2 linked regions of the Lonchura striata genome follow. The protein of the gene in region 1 purifies or fractionates together with the protein of each later gene. This does not show direct contact. Links are inferred from orthologs where the notes say so. Each region holds a gene or a part of one and is shown in the gene's direction. Other genes may lie near its edges.

Region 1 (8,172 bases):
TGTGAAAACCAATGTAAAAAAGTATTTATTATGTATGTTGGAATGGGTTTTGTAATGTCTCCATGCAACTTGCACAGAAGTAAATGATGGTGCAGAACTGGAAAATCAAGGTTTGTTTATTGAAAGCAGGTCTTCCACTCCCAGGGTCAGGCCTGTGGTTTGGAAGATGATAGAGACAAGGTCTCAGATGAAAAACAGGTTGTGCTTGTACTTTTGAAATCTTCACCATAATGTAGTTCTTGTGAAGATTAACATTATGTAGGAAGTCCTCTGTTTTACACAGTTAATCTGACACTTGCCAAATCATAGAAGAAATTACATATGGAAATTAATTTTCTTCCTTGTTGTTCTCTTTGCTTTGGAGGTCACTTCTCCTTTCCTCATTGTGCAATACAAACAAAACCCACTGTAGCAAAGCTTTGATCTATAGGCAATCCCAAACCTCATTAAAACTGACAGGGATGCTGTCCGTGCTTTGTTCAGGAAGGAGCAATTAAGTTCTTTTATGGCATAAGATAGCTAAAAATGAGAAACTGCTGCCCATGCAGGCAGGGGTGAAGGCACAGGGGTGCATGGCCAAATGCTGAGTTAATTTGTATGAGCAAGCACTAATTTGGGGAAAGTCAGGGACACTTTTCTAGGGACTGCTTGTGAGTGCAGCAGCAAGAGCACAGATTGGTTGCAGCTGTGTTTGCCTGTGTGCATGTCCGGGACCGGAAACACCACACAAGAGCCAGCAGACAGTGGGAGAAGCAGTGGTGTATGGCCCTGAGAAAAAGCCAAGGGACAGCTTCTTCTGGGCAAGCATCCTGGCTGGAGCAGCAAACTTGGACTGCTGCACAGTTCTCCCTCCCATTTGCTTCCTCTGCGTGCAAGGAAAGGGGACGTGGCTGTACATTCTTTGTAAATAAATAGGATTTCGCTAAGGAGCTGACTGAATTCATCATCGATTCCCCCCCCACGTCCCTCTGCAGAAAAAATCTGGCAAAGTGCTGAATATTAGTTAACCCTGTCGGTCATAGTTCTGTATGCAAAACTACAGAACTTTTCAGTACTGCTAAAATAGCCACCAGAGACCCTGCAGATATCAAGGCAGTCTCTGAAATTCAGACCTCAAAACAGCAGTTGATCATTTCAGTTGCTGATGATCCTTCATGGATTTTTAATGCCTGGTATTTCTACAATCCATATTAAAAGTTGCTTTTATGGAAGAATAACAAGAAACTGCTTTCTCTGATCCCTTGTTTGGAATGTTTAATATAGTCCAGATGTATCTGTTGAAAAGAAATGTAGTCAGATACAATATAGTTGTGAAACATTCATACATCAGTAAGGTGTTTGATACATGGAGCTGTTTTGAATAATTTGCTTGTGTTATCTTACGGTATCTTTTTATCAAGCTGCTCTAAGCTCTTGCAGATTTATGTCCATATTTAGGTCCCCATAGCAACTACATTATCCACCTCAGATTGAGAGTATGCTCACCCCAGCACAGCTGAATAAAGCAGAGTCCTTCAAGCTGGAGTCCTGAAGCTGGAGTATATTCTGTGTGTGCTCTGACACCTCTCTAACGGGATGTGAAGCCTTAGCCTTAGTGGGAAGGCAGGTTTGCAGCCAAGGATAAGACTGTAAAATGCCCTCAACTCACCTCTTTTCCCTGGAGCTTCACTCCAGGAGACAATTACAATCCAACAGGTCTTTGGTTCAAAGGTGCTTTACTGATGTGGAATACAAATTTGGGAGGAAAAAAAAATGCTGCTTTTAACTCCAACTATATTTATCAATCAGTTCTTCTCCAGCAAAGCACAGCGGGTGCCTGGAGCCTGGAATGAGCAGCTGGTGTGGCCGAGGGCAAGGCTGTGTTACTTTTGGCAGCAGTGCTGGCAATAGCTGGCTGGAAGCATTTGTGAAATTATGGCTTGTGGGGGCACTTCTGGTTTATGCTGACGTGTGTGCAGGCTGCCACTGAAACAGGCCCTCTCACTGGCTTATCCTGGCACTGGTGTTTGTTCGGCTGTAGGATCGGCTGGCTGCCAAAATTGATCCTGCTGGAAACTTTTTTTCTTTTTTTTGTAAACTGGATTAGCTTTCAGCTCTGTTGGCAAGTCGATCTGGCTTAACATATGGCTGCATCAGTGTTGTAGCCAGCAGAGAGCAGGCATCAGGAAGGCATGACTAAGGAAAGGGGAAAGGATGGAATGATGACTTTTGCCAGTAGTACACTCTTGTCTTGGCTTAACCCCCCGAGAATCTGCCTGTCAGGGTAGAGTTACCTGTTATAATTTGAGTCACATTAATGGCTTGCTTCAAGTGTATGAGAAAAATCTTGTTCCTTTTTTCCTCGCTCTTCTGACATTAGACCTGGTGATTGTCTAATCTTGCATTGGACTGATTTAACTTATTGAATCAGCACAAAACTCACCTCAACAAAGAAAAGGGAATAGCATTCTGCTTACTGAGTGGGTGGAATCAGCTCAGCAGAGCATCTGCAGACGCTGGCAGAGCTGGGACAGGCAAGGGGAATAGTAGCTGTCAGCTCTGAGGTCGCTGACTGAACCACAACTCAGAGCTTCAGTCTCAGAAATCTCCTTGCACAGTGCTTATTAGAAGAGCCATGATCTGGGTTCTCTCTGTAGTTTGAAGATGACAGTAAATGAATACCCTTTGTCTTACAAAAAATAAGAATTGAAAATCTGGAAATTACCACAATCATATAATTCCTTCCAAATTTCTACCCCTGTATTTTCAACTTTTCAACTCTCCCATAACTAAGTGGCATTTATTCTAACACCTCCTTTCAAGCTGGGCCTCTCCTTTGAGCCTAGATTTCCCTTGGCTTTGTTTATCTCCACAGATCTACAAATGTTCTTTTCCATCAGCCAGAGAGAGCTTTTCTCTGAAGCTTCCACAACTGGCTTTTGTTGCTGCCTTGGGAAGACACTGTGCTCTTCGATGCAAGAATGCAAGCTCATAAACAAACTGCTACTGAAAGTGCTGCTATTGAAGCAGAGTTAAAAAGTATAGAAAGATGGACTTGAATGTGTGCAAAATGGTTGTGTGCGACTCAGGTAAGAAGTAGAAGAGTGCCCAAATTCTATTTGATTATGCTCAGGACAGCTGTGGAACACTTAAGTAGGGTGCTGGCTAGGCAGTGTTTCTGTGCACCAATCACAGAAATCCTGCTGCGTGTTTGCCTAGAAGTTAAGCTTTCCTCTTTGATAGAAGAAATCAAAGGCAAGGAGGGACAAGAACATTTTCAGGTGGACCTAATGAAGAGCCATTGTTCTGGGTGGGCAGGGAACCACTCTTCCACCCATTCAGCTCCTTCTTCATTTATAAGGAGACAGAGTTGGACCAGCCCAAAGAATTAACAGAGAATAAAACATACTCTAAAAATATATTAAAATTTTATATGAGAAATAGATGGAAATAACAAGTGAGAAATCTAAAATGCCATGTTGTTGTTAATCTCTAACCATAAAATTACAGAGAAGATTAATAGGACCCAGAAATTCTTGATATAAAAGTGGCTGTTGGGAAAGTGTAGACAAGGAGTACTCAGCAAATGTAACTGCACAAGCATTGGGACATAATTTGAAAGTAGTTTAGGTGACTGAGGGAAACTACCTGGAATTACTTGTTTTTAATAAGCAGGAATCAAGATGCTCGACAATCAAGAAGAAACAAGCAGGATGTTGAAATACATCTGAAGGTCTTGATTGCTTTTGTGCAGCAACTCTGCCTGCTGGGGCTGTTCTCCAGTGGACAGTGGAAGAAATGCCTCAGTGTGTAGGCACTTGGAAAGGAATTTTCAAAAATGCTTGTCCTTGATCAAATTGGTTCCCATTGAGTTCAGCTGAGCAGGCAGGCTAGCTTGGGTGGGGCAGCAAGGAGAGAAGGTGAGGAGTAACTGCAGTGAATTGGGGAAGCATAACCTTGGCATGTTATTGAATGGCTTTTAAGATCCAGGTTCCTAAATAATAAGAAGAAATAAGTCAGATGTTCGAGGGAGCTTCATTTGATAGAAATACGGTCTGATTTGTGATGTTCCTTGTGTGGGTAGTCCTGGAGGTGAAGAGTCTCCCCTGTGCTGATGAGTGACAGGACTGCAGTGACTGCGCAGTAGGGGAGGGGAGGGATGCAGGAGGCAGAGTATGTACATTTGGGAACAGCTTTTCATGTAGTATTTCACAAAGTCTAACTTGAAAATAAGTTCAGTTTGACTTTGATGTGAAACCTGTTCTGTTGACTGAGAACTAACAGAACTGCAAAAGAGATATGGAACACAAAGGTCCTCTGACATCTCAGCACTTCCAGACTCAGTTTCATAATCCTATAACCAGAATGTTCTTTTAAATGGATATGGAATCTCTTCTGCTGCATTTCCCAGGGACTAGTCAGTGTTTTGTGGAAGACCTGCACTGGTTTTATGGGCACGTTAACTCTCCAAGAGATTCACCAGCTGGAAACGGCATAACCAGTGTGCTCAAGCAAATGAGTCGTTATCCTTTCATGAAGCACATAAGGCTGGCTGTCTCAAATTATGTTCTTTTTTAATAAGTGCTTTCGGAAGGCGACAGATCCCCACAGGATTGTCACCCAGCAGCGCCCCTCCCTAGGCTGTGCAACGTGCGCCTGTGAGCTGCAGGCTCAAGTGTAATTTAACAGAGTTAACAAACAACAGAAACCCGTATATATCTCGGCCGCCGCCTTAGGCGAGCAGCCTCCACCGCCGGCCCTCTTTCCCGGCAGCTCCGGAGGCTTCCCGGCCGCTCACAGGGCAGCGGAGGAACGGACGAGCCGCAGCAGCTCCGGCCCTGGGGCTGGATCGGCGGCCGCGGGCCAAGGTGGGTGGGACGGCGGGGCAGCGGCGGCCGGCCGATCGTCCCGGCGGGCCCGGCCGATCGTTCCGGCGGGCCCGGCCGATCGTCCCGGCGGGCCCGGAAGGCGGGCGGCGGGCGGGCGGGAGCGTGGCGAGCGTGCGGGTGACCGAGGCGGCCGCTCCGCAGCCCGCCGGGCCCCGGCCTGCCATGGTGAGTAGCGGGGCCCGGGGGCGGCAGGACGGGCGGGCGCGGCCGGGCGAGCGCAGGCCGCGGCTTTGTGAGAGGCGGCGGCAGCGCCCGGGCCGGGGACGCCGCTGCGGCGCCTACCGCCGGCTCCGCGGCAGCCGCCGTCCCCGAGCCCCGCGGCGCCTCGCGGACCTGCCCGGCCTCCCTGCCCCGGGCCGCGGCGCCGGGCGGAGCGCTGGCACCCCGCGGAGGCCAGGGCCGGCGGCTGGCTGCAGCGTCGTTTAGGGGCGATTCCCTGCAGGAACTGCAGACGGGGGGTGCAACCAGGAGCAGCCGGGGAACCTCTGCCAGGTCAAGGGACAGTGGGGGCGAGCGCAGGGACCAGCGCTGGGGCAGCCCGTGCGCTCGGCAGACCGCCCAGCCCTGGGGGTGAAACGGTGTTCATGGGGCTGTGTGTGCACTGAGCACAGACCGCTTATTTCTCCAGGCCTTCCTGCCTTTCGAGAGTCTGGACGTGTTGGATCTGCCTGGTGCTCCTGGAAAAACTTTTGGCCGTGAAATACCAGGTTTAAAGCATGGGCAATTTACCCATGTCTTTTTGGCCGTCTGGTTAGCAACCTTCCAGTAGCTGGAAGGGGTCTACAGGGAAGCCAGAGAGGGGCACTTCATCAGGAACTATAGGGACAGAACAAAGAGTGATGTGTACAAACTGAGAGAAAATTTTATTTAGATATTGGGAAGAAATTTTTTACTGTGGGAGCAGTGACACTGGAACAGGGATATTTTGGATGCCCCAGTCCTGGCAGTGTTCAAGGCCGGGTTAGATAAGGCTTTGGGCAACCTGGTCTAGTGGTTGGTGTCCCTGGCCATGGCAGGGGCGGTTGGGACTAGATAATCTTCAAAGTCCTTCTCAACTCCTTAATATTCTATGATCCTATGTTACCTACTGCTCATAGAGGTCAGTTGTTCCACAATAAAATGTATATAGTGACCCTCTTAGATTGTGGTTTCTCTCAGTGAACAGGGTTCAGATCATAGCTGCTGGAACGAGGATCTTCCATCTCTCTTCTCCTCTGTGTAGGACTCTTTTTAGGGCTGATTCAACACACAAGTCTGGACAAGGCTGGTGAAATTGCTTATAGGGGGTCCTGACACAGACTAGGGTTCCTGCCAAGGAAGGGAGATGTGACCTCTCCAGACTAGCTCAACTGCTTGTAGAAATGTAGCTTGACTTGGTCACGTCTCATTTAGAACAGTTAAATGCCGTTGCAGGAAACTTGTAATTCAGAGGTTATCTTTTTGGTTTTTTTGAAGCCTGGTGAAATTCTGGTTTTGCTTTCAGCATGCTGCTGGCTGATAAACCCAACTTCTGTGCTGAGAAGCATGCTAAATGAATTTTTGTCTGGAGTGTGGGAAAAAGCTACTGTGGTTGTTTTTGCTTTTATGGTTTGATGTTGTTTGTCATTCTTCTTCCTAATGATAAAACTGTGCAAGTTGCTATTTCTGATGGGTGACATCTGTTGGGTTTGTACCCAGAGATGCTTTTGGTCCATGTGCTACAAGTGGGGAATTCCAGGGCCACCCAATCCTGGGTCAGAGGTTACACAGAGAAATTCCCAGTGAAAAAGTTGAACTGTAGATGTGGTTCATCACACAAATACCAGGTTGCTAAGGGATGTTTCAATCTACAGACAATTTACTATCTGAAATTAAAGAAGACAGAAGTTAATCTGTCCAACTAATCGTACAGGTCCTTCAGTATTTTTGGTTTAGCGTTTTCTGGTGTTGTAAGAGGGGGAAGAGGGGGGACTTTGTAGACCTGCCCATTTATTTTTTTTAAATGCAGTGTTTTTAATGATGTTGTATAAAGGTTTTGAAATTCAGTTATATTTATAAAGCATAATTATGTAATTTGGTAAGTAGGGTTCAAATGTAACAGGACAATATTAGTTGGATCATGAAGCCTTTTTGTGTATGTTTTTTGTATTTTTAGGAGTGTGAAAATCTTTGGTGTTTGTCCTGCAATTTTGATGGAAAATGTTATAGTGAGCATTTTCTGCATTGCTTTGCAGTTCGTGCTGTTAGGAATGCAAAGCTGCTTTTCCAGCTCCCCAACTGGGAAATAAAATTTTCCCTGGTAAATGAGATGGACCAGAGCAAATATTTTCTGCCCGGTGCATTTCCATTTACTAAGAGATGGAAAACCATAATTTTAGTTTTGTAGTTATTATCCTCTTTACACATGAGCAGAACTGATCTTTGTGCTGCTACTGTGGCTAAAAGGTATGAGTACAAGTTGGAAAGAGAGAGCTGCTCACAAAAAGGAAGACTCAAGAGTGGAGGGATGAAATTATCATCTTCCTGTCATCCCATTATTTTTACCACTAGGAAAAAGATGGAAGAGAAATGTTGATTTGAGAGCATGCGAGGTGCTTCAAAACTACATTCTCCTCACAGAAAATGGAGTTTGTGAATGGGATCTGTGGGCTTACAGGAAACCCATTAGTTAGAGTTATTAGACCTTTTCTCTGGGACTTTTCCCCCAGTTGTAGTGGTGGCTTCTTCTGTCTCCTGACTTTAGTTCTGAGTAAAAAAGCTGGCAACTTTTCCAAAGTCTCTTTTTTCCAGCAAGCACAGAAAATATGTGGAGGGGCATAAGCACATAAGCATGGTTGTCTCAAGCATTTTGACTGTCATGCAGGAAAGTTGGGATTGGGAGGGAGGGTCCCGCTGAGACAGGGAAGCGCTGTTGTGAGCCAGCTTCCCTTTCTTTGCTGGGCTTGTTAATCAGCCTGGAGGATCACATTTAGTGTGCCTGCAGCAAGAGAAGGGTCATGTCCTGGGCACCTCACTGAAGGAGGCACCCGGACCACTGCAGGCCCTCAGCCCCCCCCCACTCATTTCCTGAAGGGCTCTAAGGGTTCACTGTGCATGTGCCAGCAGCAGCAAATGGCGCAAAAAATGAGGGGATGTGCCCTAGGGAAGCTGTAAAAGGGAGAGGATTGGTCTCAGGCTTTTGTTGATACCAGATCTGTACTGTGCAGAGTGGCAGGACCAGTGCGGGATCTGAGGGCTGGTGGTCTTTTTCCTTCACTTTCTCTATTTTCTGTCTTTACTCTCTCCTCTTGGTTTATCCCAGCAAGTGTGGCAATCAGATTTTACC
Region 2 (7,916 bases), on another chromosome or scaffold:
CGTGTGCCCGTGCCAGGGCCGGGAGCGGCGGTGCCGGGGCTCAGCAACGCTCGGAGCCATCCCAGGTGGCAGGCAGGGAGGAGCTGGGGGCCGGCAGACATGGGAATTCTCCCGAAAAGGAAAATCTGCCCAGTGGATCCTCAGGCATCCTCTCTGTTTCCTCCTGGAGAGGTGACAGTGAAGGGAGCCCAGCACTCGGGAAGGTGCAGGGGCTGCCTCGAGGTGCTCTGGGTGCCTCGTATATGAGGAAAAGCACAGGTCTTGCCTAACTGCATCCTTAGAACATTCTTCAGTTCGTTAAATAAAGCCCATTTTTCAAATCTTGAAATGGCCTCTGCCGGTGTTAGAGAATCCGGGAAGGAAATCGGCAGAGGGAGCCCTTTGGATGGCATCAGGAGTTTCTGCCTCCCTCCTCTGCCAGGAGCCAGGTGGGAGTTGCGGGGCCGAGCACAGACCTCATCCCTGGGCAGGGAAACGCCCTGAGCGGGGAAATCCCCTGGCAGAACTCCCAGGAACGCCGAAAAAACGAAAAAACCCCGCGGGCGGGGCTTGGACCGGTGCATCCTGACCTGGATTTTACAAAGCACGAACAACCCCCATCACAACATAAGGCAGCAGCAGATCCGCAGGAATTAATGGTAGCCCTCCACAAAGGTGGCAGACAAGTAAGAGCTGGTGGGGAAGTGCTGTGCTCTATTAAATGTTGGCTGTTTATTTTCAGAGGTGCAAAATGCTCCCACCACTCAGGATATCGGGTGTGTCTGCAGCGGGAGAGAAGAGAGGAACATTAATAATTTCTCCAAGACAATTAATTAGACTCTTTCCCAAGGATAAAGTTTAATCTAATTTCTTCTGTTATACTTTGTCTTCATAAAAGTCTGAAGAAATTAATGAGCTTTATACCACCCTCTCATGATAAAAAACCTTGGGTTCTCTTGGAAAAAATGAGGGATTAAGCCAAATTGCAGCACCTGCCATTTTTCTCTTAGACCTGCAAAGTCTTTTTTATTCTTTAAATCTATCCCTCTTTTCCCAGTTTTGTCTTTTATTCTGTTTTTAAAGTTTTGAGCAAATTTTGAGCAAGTTTTGAGCTTTCGTATTTTGCAGAGCAAAAATTAAAATGTGAATTGCAGAGACCCAAAACCCCAGCAAATAGCAAATGCAGAGAAAAGGTGGTTTTTTTTTTTGTGTGTTTTTTTTTTTTTTTTTTTTTTTTAAATGGTGATCTCATGATCTTTGAACAGTTGATGCTGGCAATGCTGAGTGTGCTGCAGAAATGAGGGGCCTTCATGGGAAACACTCCCATAGCAATCCACAGGTCCTGAGGCCATTACAAAAATTAGAAAGAGAAAACATTTATTAGGTCTAGGTATAAAATGTAATCCAGATTTATAGCTGATTTTATCTAGTGCTTGAAAGAGCTTAGCTCTGGAGTTTGGCCCATCTTTAGGCTTGATCCTTCCCAGGCTGCTTTATGCAAGAAACAAAATAATTTCATTTTCTATGTTTTATAGGCTGCTGTGTTCAAACATCACCATGGCTTGTTTCACAGCAGTATAAATGTTTTCAAATCTCTTTAGCCATGAGAGAGGAAAATGACAACAGGGTGCTTTATGTTCAAAGTGTTGACATGTTGATGCTTTAAATCAGGGCAAAAGCTACAAGTCAGATTTTCAAAGCAACACTAGGCCCAAGAAATTCACATAGGTTGCAAAAAACTCTTTCTCATCTCCAGGAACAATCCTTATGGAACTGCATAACACTCCTGGTGTGCTTCTACCTTGTACCTGCTGTCCACCCATTCTTCCTATCTGCTCCTGTGTCTCAGTGAAAAAACTGCCAGAGTTTTCTGCCTTTAACAGTTTCACCACAGCTGCTGAGCCTGTGTAAACACCTGACGTGGCACAGCTGAACTTCAGGAAAGCCTCAAAAATGAGACAGCAAAAAACTCCCAGCTCGGCTTTGTGCTCTGCCTGTGCCAATGAGGAAGGAGGGTTCTGCTTCCGAGGCACGAACCGGGTTTTCACTGGGCTAGAGGAGGAAAGAAGAGGTCATGGGACCAGGCTGAGTCACCAGTGTCTGTCCCGATGTGCCTGGAGGATCCTGCACCTCTCCAGAAGCCTCTGGAAGGACACGTGGGATTGCTGGGTGTGGATGGGCACTCGGTGCAGCCCAGAGCTGTGCGTGGTCCCTCCATCACCACACACTGTCCTGCCAACCCTCCCCTCCTCACCAGGAGTGCTGGGGCAGTGACGGCAGCCTCAGGCTGGAGCAATGAGCTGGGGCAAAACTTCCTCTGGAAAATTTCCTCATCAGACTCTGCTGTGGTTTGCAAGCAAGGAAAAGATTGGACATTTCACCTCCTCCATCCCACCTTCTTCCCCCCAGGGCTTTATTGCAAACATAAGAAGTTTGGACAGAAGTATTTCTGGTGATTGTGCCCTCAGAACAAAAACCTCACCAAATATTGTCAAACATTTCCCAGCAGAAGTGGGTGTAGAGAGAAAGCAGATCACTGAAGGGATGCTAATTGCTCCTTTTTAAGCCTTTCCTCTCTAACTTGAATTTTTAAACTCCAACAGCATTTTTCACTGTTCTCTTTACTGTTCCTTTGCTATATCCATGTGTGAAGCTGGCTGCTCAGCACCTGGGGCCAACGAGCCACTTTTTTGGGCAGGAGTTGCTGTGCTGCCATGGGATTCCTAAGAAAGTATCCACACAACCACTGCTCCATGCTGAGAATGCCAAAATCCAGATCCACTCACAAACAGAAGGAGAAACTGCTCTAGTGGATCTGGGAATAGAGCACAGCTCCTCACATGGGGCTGAGGAACCGGGCAGAGGCAGAGCCCAGGCTGGAGGAAACGGGGGAGAGCGAGGTCTGAGCTGCAGGAGGGCTGCCCGGAGGAAATCCCCGACCTCGAGGAGGAGGAGGAGGAGGAGGAGGAGACTCACTGAGTCACTCCCGTCCCGTGATCGGTGAGGTAAGCCGTGAGACCAGTGAAAGCTTGTTTGCCTTGTGTTTTGTAAAAGTGCATGATGTCACAGCAAGAGCTGTGCGTGACTCAGCATGTCCCACCAGGAGAACTGGATTGAAGTGGACACGGGAAAACTCAAATTTCTGATTTTACTTTAGCACATTGCTTGATAATTGCAAATGCAACAATCAATTAGCCTGGAGACAGAACTGACATGAAAAGACACAGCAACTTGAGGACACCCCCTACCCTGCACTTCAAACACCCCTCAAACACAGGCAGGGATGGAGAAGGGAATAGGAACTGGAGCTGTCTGGAACAGCAGCAGCTTGGAACCTAAGGAATGGATGTGCTGGGTCTCAAAATACAGTTCTGGCCTAATAGATGAGATGAAAGTGGCCCTCGAGGTCTTCAGAAACAACATGAGATGGGCATGTTGGAGGTGCTGCTTGGTGAGGCACATCCAACACTGGTAGAGTGCCCTGTACTGCATGTCCTGCTTCTCCTGGCACCATAAAATCAGATTTTATGGAGAAAAAGCATAATCCAACAATGTCAAGGTATCAGCTTTCATTGACATTTTCAGATATAAGGATACACACAGCAAACAGGCAAAAGGGAAGGTGAAACACCATATGGCTTTGCTGCCTGCCCAAAGTTTTCAATATTGGCTGCTGTAAAAGCCGCTGAATAATTTCCTACACAGCATCATCCATGTTTCCTGCTGAATTTGCTGGTATTTAAACTTTAATCCACTGCTTTACAGTGCAAACATTAGCCATGTCATACATAGAAACTGAATTTTCTAGAAAGCATTTTAACTTAAATGGGGCAAACTTTTCCACTGTAAATACTATTTTCCAGGAAAGGGTTGCAATGTCAACATTGTGCCACATATACCAAAAATGTCTCTACATAAAAGGCCAAGTGTTTTAACATATATACTTTAGGTCAAGAAATAAACTACCTTCCCATTGTGGAAATTAAAATTTATGCTTCTCTTGATTACAGAAGATGATAAATCGTGACACAGTTCCTCCTAAGTTCTTAATATCTTAAATTAAGAAATACAGCACCAAGAGTCAGAGTGGTCAGGCCCTTGGGTGAGAGGAAAGTAACACCAACAAGGAACCTAATAATCATTGATCCATCATTATTTAATTATGCTTGGACAGCACAGACGGTGTGTTCTGCCAGCTGAACCCTCCTGCGGCCGGATTAAGAGGCCTGTCAACTGTATGTGATCCGCAAAAAAAATACTGCTGCCAACCAGCTTGCAAAGGCCACAGCACATCCTCCTTAATGTCAGCTGTGTTTACACCAGTGACCTTATTTTTAGTGCCCGCTCCTGACACAGGGGTTCAGTTATTTATTCCTGCCACGCTCGGCACGCCAGCCGCTCCGGTGGGTGCCGCACGAGCGGGGCTGGCTCGTGGCTCCCGCTCCGCTCCCGGCCGCGCTGCCGCCGTGGAGGGGAGGCAGCGCCGGGATGCCAAGCGCCTGCCGGCTCCCGGCGGCCGGGAGCGGTGACGGGACCGGGGCGGCCCGGCGCTGCCCGTGCTGTGGTGTTGCCCCCGGTGTGTCTCGGAGGTCACCCAGGGGTCCCCGTGTCGCGCTCACTGCCCGCCGCCCCCGCTGGTGCTCAGGGGACCACAAGAACCCCGCGCCGCCCACGCCCCTGGCGCTGCCCCGGGGCCCAAACCGGGGCCGGGCAGGGCAGGGAGCAGACATGGGCATTTGCACGTATCCACAGGTTTTCCCGCGCGCCGTGGGCGCTTTTCCGTGGCCCTGGATGGGGACGGAGCAGGAACGGGAGCGGGGCGGGCCGGGGCAGGGCAGAGGGGGGTGGCCTCGGGGGCGGGGCCGCTGCCGCGGCGCTTAAAAGCGCGGCCGGCGGAGCCGCCGTCGCCGCTCACCCCGCCCCTCGCCGCTCCGTGTCTCGGTCCCGGCCGCAATTCCTGCTGCGCCACAGCCATGGCGGCGCTGACGGTGAAAGCCTACCTGCTGGGCAAGGAGGAGGCGGCCCGCGAGATCCGCCGCTTCACGCTGCCGCCGCCCGCTCGCTACCGGGCCATCTACGACCGTGTCGCCGAGCTCTTCCAGGGGCTGCTGCGGGCCGGGCCGCCGCCCGCCTTCCGCATGCACTACAAGGGTGAGCGGGGCTGGGGCAGCTGCCGGGTCCCGGGGTGGCAGATCGCGGGGCGCGGGGCTCTGGCTGCCCCGTTACCCCACCGGGCGCCTCATCCTGCGCTTCGCCCTTTCCAGATGAGGACGGGGACCTGATCGCTTTTTCCAGCGACGAGGAGCTGGAGTTGGCGATGCCCTACGTGCGGGATGGCGTGTTCCGTGTTTATATCAAAGGTACGGGTAGCAGCTCCGGAGGGCACGGCGGGTCTCGGCTGAGCCTCCTGGCAGCGCTCCCAAAGCGGGAGAAGCCAGCCCCGGCCCTTCCCGTGTCCTCGAGCGCCGAGTGGAAGCTGCGGCCTCTGCGGGGGAGGTTAAATAAAGGGCAGTGTAATGTGACGGAACATGAATTTGAGGTGGGATAAACAAACCACAGGTTTCCTCCTAGCCCTATCAGCTGGCCCAGTGTGAGGCTCTGTTGTCATTCTCGTTCCCTGGATACACTAAACCAGTGGTGGTATCCTAAATATTCAAAACAACATGTTAGCTTTAATTCCACTTTCCCAGTGCGTAGTTGCTTCCCAGTCCCTTGTTCATGTAGAAGCCCTCAAAGCTTTATCTGCAGTCCATCTAGTGAGCCACACCTGTTGTCCCCATTCTCATGTTATGCTTCATGGCATCTGCATTCCTAACTCCTTCTCCAGAAACATTTTGTTCTTGCAGTGCTTGGGAAGGTAGGGTGAGAAGCCAGATGAGGTGGTGCAGTGCTAATCTAAAAAAAGTGTGCCAAGGGATATTTAGGATAACGTAGGCTTGGTTTCAGGAGGAGGTATCTTTGCAAAACCTCTTTGCACGTGGTTTAAGGTCTCTTACATGAGCCTGGCTTAGGTTTGACAGCCAGTGTAAAAATAAACTGACCTAGTAAGTCAACACTGCTCGGACGGGCTGTTTGTGCTTCCTCCTCGGCCTGACTTCAAGGCCGTAGATAGTAATCTGATCTTGATGTGGAATTTCCCTTCCTTAACAGAGAAGAAGGAGTGCAAGCGGGAGCACCGCTCGCAGTGCAGCCAGGAGCCGCCCCGCAACATGGTGCACCCCAACGTCATCTGTGATGGCTGTGAGGGACCTGTGGTGGGGACCAGGTTCAAGTGCAGTGTCTGTCCAGACTATGACCTGTGCAGCACCTGTGAGGGGAAGGGCATCCACAAGGAGCACAACATGGTGATGTTCCAAAGCCCACTGCTTAATCCGTTTGAGGTGAGCAAAATCTATGGAAGGCAACTGATGAGTGAGAGATTCCTCAAATTCAAGTCAGGCGTTTCAGTTGCTCAGAACTCGCTGTCACACGAATGTCACCCTTTACAGTGGATTCCCCGAGGACGCTGGCTCCGTAAAATGCGCCATGGTGTTCCACCTTTCCCATGGATGCACTGCTGGGGGTATCCTGGGCCTGCAGCTCCCTGCCAGAACTCGGAGCAAGCTGAAGCCACCGCTGAAGCCACCACTGCAGCCCCCAGTGCACCTGCTGCAGAAGGTGAGAGGAGGTGCCCTGGTAGACAGGGTGGTGGTGGAGCCTCAGACCAGCTGAGGTTCTGCAGCATAGGGTAGAATCTGGGTGGGAGAACAAAGGAATTGGCACCTTTCAGCACAAAGTGTTATTACTTTAAGGTGTGCTTGGGTCCGTGCAGTCAATGAGGATGCAGATAAAGTATCTGGAACCCAACCAAGCTGAGCTGTTAGGTCAAGCATGTCACTATTGTACTCCAGACCTGCCTTTCAGCATGGCTGATGAGCCATAATAATGCTAATACTGGCTTTCTGTTCCAGAGGTAGCCCAGTTAGTTGTTCTCTGTAGTGCTTTGTTCTGTAATGTATGTCAGTGACAGGAATGAGCTTTAAGCTCCTGTGGGGACACACCCTCTGCAGGTGCCCTTTCCCTCAGAGCTTGTGTGTGCTAACAGAAATTGTTTTTCTAGAAGCTTCTACTAACAGCCAGCCTCAGGACCCCAATGTCACCTTCCTAAAGAATGTTGGGGAGAGTGTTGCAGCTTTTCTGAGTCCCCTGGGTAAGTGATAATGTACAGTTTGTTACCAGTCCCTGAGACTGGCTTACAGGTCTGTTTAACAGGAGCAGCAGTCAGTTGTTGTGACTGGTCTTCAAATTACCTCCTGTCCTAAGCCTCAAAGGCTTAGTTTATACTTGGATACTAATAATGCTTAGGCTTAGAACAGTTGCTCAGTACCTTTTATTTGAAAAAAATGAGGAAAAATTTCAATAATGTGTCAGCCCTTTAAGTCAGTGGTGACTCTAGATTTTGCCTGGTTTATGTGGACATAGATGTAACTTCTGCCCTGCCTTTAAGTATTTGGCTTGTCTGTGTGGAGGAAGATGGCTGTTCAGTGCTTAGCTATTCTTTAGTAAAGAAGGCTTTGCATTTTAATTCCTGCTGTTACATGGCAGATTGTAGGATGACAGAAACCTTAAGAGTGTAGAGCAGGATCGATCCATTTAGGGCTGTTTTGGAAAAAAAACCTCTTACCACTTTGTCTACCTTAAATGCTTTTCTAGGTATTGAAGTTGATATCGATGTGGAACACGGAGGACAGAGAAGCAAAGTGACTCCCACTTCTGCCAACCAAGAGAAGACCGGTGCTGAGGCAACCAGCAGTGCTCCAACCCAGAATGTTCAGACCAAAGCAGACTGGAATAACACAGAGTCTGCTACACAAGTAAATGTCATTGCAGAACAGATGCAAGACATGGTGGTAGATTCTGTGCCCACACAAATGGAAGATGGCAGCTTCCATTCCCAG

What was found.
Region 2: the proteins of TRIM13 (region 1) and SQSTM1 purify together in Homo sapiens (affinity purification with western blotting; 3 studies listed by BioGRID). This does not show direct contact. The link is inferred for Lonchura striata from reciprocal best matches to the Homo sapiens genes TRIM13 and SQSTM1.

Annotation. Positions count from the first base shown.
Region 1 is NC_134604.1:62,631,989-62,640,160, forward strand, and holds the start of TRIM13 (E3 ubiquitin-protein ligase TRIM13), read left to right. Parts: upstream 1-4,967; 5' UTR 4,968-5,030; coding exon 5,031-5,033; intron 5,034-8,172. UniProt on the Homo sapiens protein: Endoplasmic reticulum (ER) membrane anchored E3 ligase involved in the retrotranslocation and turnover of membrane and secretory proteins from the ER through a set of processes named ER-associated degradation (ERAD).
Region 2 is NC_134617.1:6,704,274-6,712,189, reverse strand, and holds the start of SQSTM1 (sequestosome-1), read left to right. Parts: upstream 1-4,891; 5' UTR 4,892-4,952; coding exon 4,953-5,130; intron 5,131-5,243; coding exon 5,244-5,339; intron 5,340-6,129; coding exon 6,130-6,359; intron 6,360-6,467; coding exon 6,468-6,636; intron 6,637-7,078; coding exon 7,079-7,168; intron 7,169-7,334; exon of another isoform or gene 7,335-7,671; coding exon 7,672-7,916. UniProt on the Homo sapiens protein: Molecular adapter required for selective macroautophagy (aggrephagy) by acting as a bridge between polyubiquitinated proteins and autophagosomes.